2 linked regions of the Caenorhabditis elegans genome follow. The protein of the gene in region 1 interacts with the protein of each later gene in a pairwise test. Each region holds a gene or a part of one and is shown on either strand. Other genes may lie near its edges. The genes, in order: dsc-1 and saeg-1.

What was found.
Region 2: the proteins of dsc-1 (region 1) and saeg-1 interact in a two-hybrid assay, tested with the Caenorhabditis elegans proteins (one large-scale study listed by BioGRID).

The regions. Positions count from the first base shown.
Region 1 is NC_003284.9:15,030,444-15,036,620, reverse strand, and holds dsc-1 (Homeobox protein dsc-1), read left to right. Parts: upstream 1-1,788; 5' UTR 1,789-1,877; intron 1,878-2,066; 5' UTR 2,067-2,079; coding exon 2,080-2,497; intron 2,498-2,542; coding exon 2,543-2,611; intron 2,612-3,245; coding exon 3,246-3,433; intron 3,434-4,160; coding exon 4,161-4,343; intron 4,344-5,082; coding exon 5,083-5,157; 3' UTR 5,158-5,441; downstream 5,442-6,177. Other genes in the region: seb-3 (G_PROTEIN_RECEP_F2_4 domain-containing protein), read right to left, coding at 5,826-5,870, 6,066-6,177. UniProt on the Caenorhabditis elegans protein: Transcriptional regulator which plays a role in the expulsion step of defecation by controlling enteric muscle-specific expression of exp-1 which is required for enteric muscle contraction. Not required for exp-1 expression in the PDA neuron.
Region 2 is NC_003283.11:10,862,657-10,867,686, forward strand, and holds the start of saeg-1 (Suppressor of activated egl-4 protein 1), read right to left. Parts: upstream 3,044-5,030; coding exon 2,927-3,043; intron 2,777-2,926; coding exon 2,672-2,776; intron 2,190-2,671; coding exon 2,109-2,189; intron 2,063-2,108; coding exon 1,913-2,062; intron 1,867-1,912; coding exon 1,762-1,866; intron 1,706-1,761; coding exon 1,614-1,705; intron 1-1,613. UniProt on the Caenorhabditis elegans protein: As a likely component of a histone deacetylase complex, together with saeg-2 and hda-2, functions downstream of the cAMP-dependent kinase egl-4 to regulate the expression of genes required for egg-laying and foraging.

The sequences.
Region 1 (6,177 bases):
AATACGACACATTAAAAATAAACAACCGATTTGAAATATTGAAGAGAAACGACTTTTCTTTAATGACTGTTACTGCATTAATTCATGATGGTTTATAAAATTAAAAGGCAGGAAATCAACGCCACCAAAGTCGCTGCCCAAACTATGCAAGTATCTGCCAGCATGGTTTGGGCGTCCGTTTGGTTTGGACAACAGTTGAATCAGTCTAGTAGACCCAAATGTTTCAAAATAAAAGTTCCAACTGAGACCTCTGAAACATTTTTTGCCCGCTGTATAATTGACTGAAAACATGAGTCAAAGTTTCATTTTTTAAATAAACTTGGACAAAAATTTTGAATCTTCAAACAATAAAATGATGAGTCCAACTTCAACAAATGTGATGTTTATTGGTGCGGAGTGAATGCTAAAAACATTTTATTAACATTTATTTTTTAATCGTGACTATAACATCTCAAAACATGCACTTTCACAGGCAATTTCAATTTTCACTTAAATATGAGTTGTGTTAACTTATTGAACACTAAAGTTTGATAAATCTGTATACATCAATATTGTGATTTAGGGCTGCGAACTTGCCACATGCGATGCGCAATTAGGGCAATTTTTCTACAAAAAAAGTCGAAAAATTTTCTTTAAAACTCAAATAAGCAATTCCAAAAAAAAAGAAGTTACTAACTCATGTGATATTAAAAAAGTGAGCTCTGAAAAAATATCATTATTTTAAATAGAAGCTGGGCCCAAATAAATATTCAATGGTCAAATTAAAATCAACAAAAACTTGAGTGGCATTTTTAAGCCTTTAAAACCAAACCAACTACCCAAAAAACCAAACCAACTACCCAATTTTGAGTCCTTGTTTTGACTATAAAACAACAACTATATATGTAGGCTGCAAGCTAAAAAAATTTTAAAAAAATTTGATGACTTTTTAATTTTAAGAATATAATATGTTTCAGGCTTCAATGGCTTTTCGTTGTTGTTTATTACAAAAGTTAATTTATAATTCAATCTACCACAGTTCCAACAAAATGCGATTTTTGCTACCGAGAAGACACGTCGATCATTCTTATTACAGAAAACTGAGCATATTTTCAAACATCGGCTTCACTGAAAAGTCTCGAGAACCTTTTTTGATCATTTTGAGTCAAGTTGCAGAATGGTCTATATTGCTAATCAGAGATGTTTCAGTAATGGCTTCATATTTCTCAGCTACCAAGTAGTAAAAACCGCTCTGTTGTCATTGCAAGTCATCAATTCAGCAATTGAAAAAAAAAACATTTCAAAATGTTTCAAACTTTATATAAAAGTATACGTCCGTTGTGCCAAGAACATCTAATTGCTTAAAAATGTATTTCAAGAAACTAAATTTTAGCAGTAATCAAAGTGTACAGTTTGGTTACAGTTTACTCTGTATATTTGAAACATTTTGATTCGTGAACTGTTTGAAAGAGTGTAGTGTTTCACTTGGCGTCACTTCATAAAAGATTATTAAAGAAGATTAACCCTTCGCTTGGTCACCGAAGAATAGCCACCCCCACCGCAGCTAGGAGTTCTTGCTCTGAATGGATTAGTGAGCTGTGGAAAAGTTGGCATTTTTAGTGATCTGACTAACTAATCCCCCTCAATTAATCTCAGATGTGAGGGTGGAAATAAAAAATGTGGATGGCATTCGCAAAGAAGTTTTATCAGAGAAAGTAACAGTGAATTGAAGAGATTAATAGAGGGGATTAATTGGATGATAAAAAGAAGCGAGCAAGGTGAGATCAGTTATTCATTTTTCTCATTTCACACATTATTTGCACTTCTTACTATTTTCGAGTTGGTGCAGAAACTATCTTCAGGACTTTGGTCAAGTGCTGAAAATTCAAGTCAATGAGGTAAGAGCTTAATTAAATTTTGCACACAGTTTTTGTCTTGTAATTTGATCCAAAAACATAGCAAAGTTAGAAATAGATATGACATTGGAAAAATAGATTTTAACTTTCAATCTAACCGAATAATAAAACATGCGATCTATTTGTAAATTGATGATAATTATCTAATAAATATTCCGATGAACTTTTCAGATCTGAACCAAATATGAACCCTCATACCAACCTCAACAACGTATTCGACTTTCCTGATCTCCCGATGCTACTTCCAAAATCAGAAGCTTTGTCTGTAACCACCGATTTTTCTGTGCCACCAGTGCAACAGGGAGCTCAACAATTCCACCCGCCGCGCAATCTGGGACCACAGCTTGCTCGTCGCTGGAGCTGCGGCGATTCACAGCATGCCGACGAACCGCCCGCCTCCTACTACCATAACCTCGGCGTCGCCCTTCATAACCACTTTCAAATGTCGAATCAGCATTATTTATCGGATTTTGATTGTCCAACAACGGTTTCACCGATTTCATCTGCACATGAAACTGGGCAATTGCCACAATTGAGTCCGTATGATCATATTGGAAATCAGGATCCGCATATGTTCTCTCCCCATGCTTATGGAAACTCTAGTAAGTTAAATTTAGAAAGTTTATCAGCAAAAATATTTTTTCCAGTGATTCCTGACAATTCATATTTTGAAAATGCGTCACGCTCCATCTCTGCACCAAACGTTGGCAATTCAAGTAAGTCAAAGTTTTCAAGAATCGAAAACTGACCGCTAAAGTTTCATTGTCTTTAGAAAATTAATCTTTTTAAAAAAGATTATCAAAACTTGTTGCATTGATTCCATATTTAATCCCAGTAAAAAGTCAATGTTTTCAAGGATTACTAGAAACAGATCGGTACTAGTTAATCCAGAGGGTGGGAAATTCATGTAAAAACTTGAAAAATAGGGAAGAATGAATTAATATCAAAGTATAAAACAACTTTTTTATGAAAATTTAAATTTAAAATTTAACACTTGAAGTTTTGATAGTGACACGTTCACAAAAAAAAATCAGCATTTTGAATGTTTCACACTTCTGATTACTGTTTTGTTATGCTTACTATATCATTTTCCGAACGTAATTTTTCTAGAACCATATTCTAAAATGAATTTAAAATAAATTCATTGATCTATTTACGCCGACTAAAATAATTTATATTTTATTTATATGTATCCCTTTTTTTTAATTACATGAAAGGAATTGTGATACATAATTGTCCTTGATTTAGCTCTATTTCACCACACTGTAACATTTTTTCTACTCATTTCAAAATTAACTGTTCCAAACGGTCCAAAACTATTGTACATCATCTGAAATCCTTACTTTCCAGCTCTGAACCCTTCTCTGATGTCAAGCGACAATGCTCAAAGTTGTGGAGGCCGACGAAGATTCAGAACCAACTTCACCGAACTTCAATCCACCTTCCTTGAAGATTCATTCAAAGAATCACACTACCCGGATCACAAGGCCAAAAAGTATATGGCTGACTTTTTGAAAATTCCAGAGGATCGTATCACGGTGAGTGTACATAGTGTTTAATCTTTTTGAAATTGATCAAAATCTTGATTTTTATGCTATGAATAATTGAAGAAAAAAGAATATTACTAGTAGGATTTCCTTTGATGTCATCTGTAGAAGATTAGCCCCTCTGACACAATTTTCACTCTTTCAAAATCCTTTGGAATATAAAATAGAGCTCAAACGAAAATGATCATGTGCATCTTTGGATTCAAATGATTAGAAATGAAGATAAATGCTAAACATTTTATGAAACGACAGACCTATTCAAATAAGACAAGTTATAAGTTTCAGGTATAACGGGTATTTTTTTCTGATTGGAGGAGGGCAAGAATAATAGAGGAATTTTTTTTTTCAGAATTTAGTTCCACTCAACTCATGAGAAATTCATAAAGCTAATTTTTGATAATTGTTTACAATACATGTTGTAATTTCAACTTAACTGAAAAAAACCATGATTCCATCTTCCATTCTCAAAAACTACAACCTGCCATAAACCGATTCTTGATCACACTTGTTTTCCCATCTTCCCCTCCCTACCATAGGCTACGGTAGCGTATGCTGTCCACATGTGGGGGCCTCAACTCTCGAGTTGCAATTTACGAGCAACTATCTGTCACAATTGAAGTGAGCCAAATCGCTTCGAGAGATTTGATTTAACGCGAAAACACCAAGAAAACCACACACACACACAAACCAATAAATATTTCAATTATTCAAACTTCAGGTATGGTTTCAAAACCGACGCGCAAAATGGAGAAGGAAGGAGCACCGTCAACGGGATCGCACTCGGAATGAATCTTTCAGTGGAGGATCAAACTCGTTTGATTTTGCGTGTTTTTCTGCGCAACATCCAGATGATGGTCCGAATGCAAAGCATCCAAATTCTTTTGGTATTCCCAATCAACCGGTAAGGCTATTACAGATTAACAACTGAAAACTTCCGTATGAAAATAATTTGGCAAAAAATTTGATATTAAAGATCGAGTAGCGTCAGTGGGAATTTTGTATAATTATACTTATAATAATCCAAAACGACCAAATATGATAATAAAATACTTTTAAAAAAATGTTTAGACTTTTTTATAATTTCCGGTCAAAATTTTGGCAAATTGCCAAAATTTCGAAAAATATGAGCTTTTGAGGAAATCCCAAGCAATGTCGCATGTTCCGACACCTACGATGTTTTAATACAAATAATTAAAACAAAATTGTAGTATAAAAAATGTAAGAAAAAATTTGTTTTGGTCGACTTCCAAAATTATGAGTTGAAAAAACTGAGTAATTGTTACTTTTTTACAGTAAATAAAACATTTCAAAAATTGTTTGAAAAGGTTTCATATGATATTCGGTTATTCTGGCATTATAGGAGTAGTTTTAACACTTTCCCCACTGGCGCTACTCCACCTTTAATTAATGAATTAGCTAGTAACTATTCAACTTTCTAAAGTATTATTTATGTATAAAGCTTTGCTGAGCTGGAATTACAGACCGTGTTCATCTACTATTCTTTTGTCAAAAATAATTAGCCCTAAAAAAGCTATTCGAAAGTTTTTATAAAAGTTTTACAATGGCATGTTATCACTATAAACCATTGTAGTGAATAATTTTTATGGTTTACACAATTAATATATATATTTAAATTTCAGATGTCCCTTGACCAATTCCCAATGAACACTGAACAAGATTTTCCTGAATTTCCAAGCCTACAGGAGCATCAATAAGGCATCGATATACTATCTCAATATCATTTATTTGGATTTTTTAAGTTGAAATTTTGGTTGTTTTTTCTTCCTCTTAGAACAAATCAAAAAGCCAGTTTGTACCTGTTATACAGATCAAGAAATATGTATTTTGCAATTTTCTATGTTATTTTTTGACTTTTCATCTATATATTTTTCGTTTGTATATGTGATTATGTGCTTATTCTAGATTTTCATATCACTTTTTAACCGTTAGTTTTGTCAGATAATTAGATAATATTAATAAATAAAACCATTCATTCGAATCATTCATGAAAGTTTCTAAATCATTGGTGTTCATTATGAATTTCAGAAATTCGCAGGGCATTTTGAGATCAATTCAAGTAGCATTCAAAACTTCTTTTTTTTTTGAAAGATGATTGACCAAACAAAGTGGAACTATTGGAAATTTGGTGGGTAGGAACCCGTAATCATTCGTTTGGCAAATAAGGTTTAGGGCGGGAAAGTGATTTTGCTTTGGGCTGTTGACGGGTTCAAAATGATAATCATAATAATAATAATAATAATAAAAACATAAAATATTCTAAAATCTTGATTGAAGATAATTGAGGACAGTTCGAGAATAAAAGAAATCGAATCACAATGAAGTTATTGGAAATTTCAAATAACTTGAAGAGGGGGCGGTGTGATTAAGATTTCGTAGACACCGAGTAGATTTGCTTTCCAGTGCTAACCTGCAAGGTAAAACGTTTTTAAAAACTAAAAAGGTGCATAGCTTTCACAATTTAGGAAAAATTAAATCTCCGGCCGCTGCAAAAACTAATTCACCAAATTTCAGCGTTTTTTTTCTGAATTTTTTAGCATTTTTTAGTGAATTTTTCGAACTATGAAATTAAAAAATTAACATTGGTAAGTTTTTCAAAACATACCTGATCTTGAGATTCCGTATTTTCACCACTCTCAATATTTTTAGTTTTGTTCATTTCCTCCATCGGAACTCCATTTTTCGTGGCATTTCTTGCTTCAGGCACGTAAGTTCTT
Region 2 (5,030 bases), on another chromosome or scaffold:
ATTAAGAAATTGCGTAATGGTCTCGCAAAATGTTTGAAACCCCATGTGTGGAGAAATGAATATTTTGAACTCGATTTCTATAATTCTAATTTTGGAAGGATCACAATTTTAATTTAAGATTAATTTGTTACACTAGCATCTCAGCTAATCACATTACGTAAATATGTCTTCCCTAATATGAAAAATCTTGAGCAAGTGCATCCCTAGAATATATGGCATTTCAGTGACGGGTATTTGGATATTCTGAGAATTTCGTTGCGTTGTAAATATAGATAATTAACTGGAAAGTTCATAAATCTCTGGTCGTGTTTGTTTTTCCTAGAATAAATATGTGTACAAAGTGTTTTTTTTTTCGAACGAAAAATATACAAACGTTGGCGTAACTCGTTTAACGAGTAAAAATGTTTTGCATTCGAATGCTTGTTTATTGATTAAATATTTGTCTTTTTGAATGCACAATTATCTAGATTTGAATTTTTGAGAATTCCAAAATTTCTTATGCACCGAACAATTTCTTATCTATCAGTTGCACAAATTTGATTGCGTTTCGTTAACTTTATGGCCACTGAAATTAAAATCATGCATCAACGTGATTTGTCGCAACATCCATCACCTCGAAAGGGTATTCGTAAAGATTTTGATTTTCTGTTAAAACAACTACCGTATTTCTTCTATTAATATGGCTGCAATACTATTTTTAGATGGTCTTCCCGCTTGCAATACTAATAGGGAGTGCAAGACTATTAGGGAGTGCAATACTAATTTTCAGAACATTTTCTGACTTTGAGCTTACTAGTTTTTTCCTGAAAAAGCTCGAATCATATGTAAAAATTCAGAAAATTTGATTTTCATATAAGTTCAAAAACTTCAATCTCGTAAAAATGATGTGAAAACTGTTGCAAAATAGGCAATTTTTTTTTGTTGAAATCCTGAAATTAGCGAGACGGGTTTGCAATACAAAAAAAGTTAACGCAAGACTATTAGAGAGTGCAAGACTAATAGGGAGTGCAATACTAGTTTTCGGAAGGTCTCCGGGGGGGCAATACTAATAGGGAGTGCAAGTCTAATAGGGAGGCCATATTAATAGAAGATATACAGTATACAAAAAGAGGAAGTTGATATATACTCTGATTTTACAACGATACCTATGATTTTTGGAAGGCTGTGTTTAGAGCTGTCCAGAGCCGGAACTAAAAATATGCAATACTTCAGCTTCGAAATTTAGCCCCGGTCGCTGAAATGGTCATCCGAGTTTTTTTGCATTTTTTTCGTAATGTGAGGTAAGAAAAACAGATGTTCGCCAAAAATGTGCAGTGTAATATTTGGTAAGCAAAAAAGTCAAAATGATAAAACTGAACATTCAAAAGTCTACAAACTTTGTTATTGAAATTAATTTTAACCTATGTTTTTAATAGTTCTTGAGCTTGTCTTTTTTTTTTTGAGAAAGTGTCTTTAATTTTGAACATTTATTGTTTCAAGACCTTTCCAAGATTTGTCCGTAAAAATATATATGAAACGTGTTTTAAAATTACAACCATTTGAGATAAAATAAAGCGCTATCAAATATATTGTCCTCAGAAAATTAACTTTTCAAACAGAAAAAAAAAACTTACGGATTATCAACATGATCTAGTTTGATCTCTATTCCATGCCCGGCCGAATGTTTTCTCATATACATTGGATTGTGATTACCATTTGAAGCCGCCTGAACCAAAAAATATTAGAATGTTGAATAATAGAAGGATTAAAAAATATCCTCACTTGATTTCTCCAATGTTGTTGAGGGTGTTGCTGTTGGTGATTAGCATGATACGGATGGACCTGATGATTTGGCATAAACTCATTGTTTTGCCACGTACGAGGAGTCTAAAATTGCGATTGAATAGTAATTATTTTTCTTTCTATTTCTCACATATTGATCGGGATACATATGATGAGAGTTTTGCGATGAGAAGAAATTTGGAGCCAATGAGCACTTTCTAGGCGGAACTGAATAATGATTTGGAGTTGAATAGTTAGGAAGCTCGTTGAATCTAACACGTTGATTTTTTCGATTTCCATCCTGAAAAAGTGGTTTGAAAATTCAGGAATATTATAGAATATCTTACGGTATTTGTAGAAAACTGAAGTGGTGGAGGTGTCACGTTGGGTGGTGAAAATCGGAGAGGTTCGTAAGAATAGTTTTTTGTCTGGAAAATAAATTTTTGTTAGTATACATTAAGAAAATATTCGGATATCGTATTTTATAGGAAACACTATGTTTATTAATATGAAATTCAAACTTTTAAAATTTTAAAATTTGCTTAATTATGATAGAAATTTTATGTTGATTGCAAAATTACAAATATAATCAATCTCTTGCCAACATTTTTCGTTATCGAAAATAACTAATAAACAAAAAATTTTTGTTCTGAATCGTGTTAAATATGTTTTGCAAATTCTAGATAGTGAGAACTATATCAATGCAAATTTTAAAACGTTTCGGTCCAGTAGTTTTCCTCTGACCAAAAATTTTTTGCTAGCGTTAATTTTAGATTTTTTTGGATTCAGCCGTTTCTATGCTCCAAATTGCATCAATTCGTCATGACTCTTTTACAAAAAATTGAAGGAATGTATGAATATGAATATTGAGCTACTAGATCCAAAAATCGATTAGGATAAAACAACTTACAGGTAAATGATTGTTCTGATGTGACTGCCCTGACATAATTGAAGGTCTGTGTTGTTGCCCTGATGCTTGATATTCTGGAACATGCTCTCCGCTGGAACCTCCGTTCTGAAAAGTTTAAAAGTTTATTTTAAGACACCTACTCAATATCAATTTTTAATGCATTTTTTGTGTGTTTTGGTGAATAGTACCGTTCATGGAAAAACACGTTTGAATATTTATATTCACTAATTTTATGTTCGTGTTGCTATTGCAAACCTTTTCTGGAAAATTATTTTGATAAAAAGCATCTACATCTCTACGATTTGGGCCAGTTATAGTGGAAATCGATCTTCTAGGAGCGTAATAATTTGGAGGATGTTGAGGTGGTGGCATTGGATTTTCATTTGGAGGTGGTTGTGGTGGCGGTTGCTGGGGCACATCAGGAGCACCCCATTCAAAAGGATTGTGCAACTGATCCACGTTGATCTGAAATAATAACACTTTAAAAAGCATATTGTGGAGCAAAACACAAGAAAATTGAGTTTTTTTCGGAAAAGGTTTACGGTATGACTGAATATCAAAGCAATGAAAAAACGGGGATGATAGAGCAGAGAGCATGAAAAAAAAAAGTGATGATCAATAAAAAAGGGTTAAGCGCAACATTATGTATCATTACATGATAGTTTTTGTGTTGAACTGGTTGATTTTTTGAACAAGAAATAGTACTTATGAAAGCACATAAACTACAAACTGAAGGAGTTTAAAATGAGAGAAAAAGAACGAAGATACTTGAAACTGGGAGTGGATCTCTCCTCTTTTAGGTACGGCGGTGTCGTTATAATAATGGGTGTGAACTTTCTTTTTTGTAGGATCAATTGATGGTTTTCATAAAAAGAAATTAAGTTCAGTGTGGCAGAGTAGTCTCCAGCAGAAATAAGAATCAACTAAACTAAGATATTAAAATCCGTTCAAAAATAATAAGTGAGCATGAACTTCACCTTTTGTTGTGACCTGGCTCGACCCTTGTCTCGCCATGTCACAATGTCTCGTCCTCCGATCTCATGAGAGATCTCTTGGACGAGGTTTCGACGTAAGACAATACAAGATTGCTCTGACGCACAGTGCTTTCACTGCGCGGCGACTCAACCAACAACAGGATACGCAGCCATTGGACGCCACCACTTCAGTGTCTCCTGCTGCGCCCGTGCCGAACGGTCGTGCGTAGCACAGCTCTCTCCCCGACAAACCCCCTTCTCTATTATGTTGCCCCATACTGATATTATGTACGTGCTCTGATACCCAAAGAGACCCCGACCATTCATACACACGACCTCTTCAGACCAAAGACCCGCGTGGCAGGACGTGATATTCTCACACCAGACGATTTCCCCCTCTCTTGTGTACGACCCATTCCCCCTCTGTTGATTATCTCCCCTTTGGAGTAATAAACATATTTATTAAAACTGTGTTCTGTTCCTTCCAATACATATACAAATAGACGATGCCATGCTGCACCTCTGACATAGTCTTCGTTGCTCGGTTCCTCTTGAGGCTTAAAGGGTTCGGTCTTCCGCCACTCCGTGGTGCCACAACACCTTTCAAAACAAGAAAATATAACGAAGAATAATAAGTGATCATTGGTGTTTAGGAAGATCATGTTTTTCTATGTCTCAAATTAACTAAATTTAGATACATGATCATTTGATGGACTGGAAATTTGAGTGTGAGGACTAGTTATCGATTATCAAAAAAAACATTAATTAGATCCAAAACCATTTTTAGTTCTCTTACTTTGAGAAAAAACGTTAAATAAGATTTCGGCCGCTTGGGTCTAAACAAATTCTTTGTACCATTATTATGCACTAGTTTTAGTGATCACATGACACTTTTACTATGAAAATCGCTTGAATATAGAAAGTTTAGTCTGGCCTTGATTATAAACAAACTAACATATGAAAAGTGCTCTCTGCTAAACAAAACGCCTGCAAATTAACTTTTCATATTTTCCAAGATAACAATTAAAAAAAATTAAATAATCTATCAAAAAATATACTTGCATGCGATACTCATAAGAAAACTACGGTAGCCTGATTTTAAAAGATTTTTCCAGAAATATAAATTTTTGGAGAATCTATCCGTCACATGAAACTGACAATTGACACAATCATATTTATGCAAATTTGTTTGAAATACTTTTTTCTGTGCAACTGTGTAAAATTTCGACAAAACAGTTCTCGTTCGTCGATTGATTACAGCAAAAGATAGAGAAAAAGGAGACCTGACATTTGACTTTTGACCAATAAAGGGCACAACAGGGTGGGTGGAAATGGAGAAAGAGAACAAAAATAAAAGTTGTAGTAGTAGTAGTCCTTAATGAGAA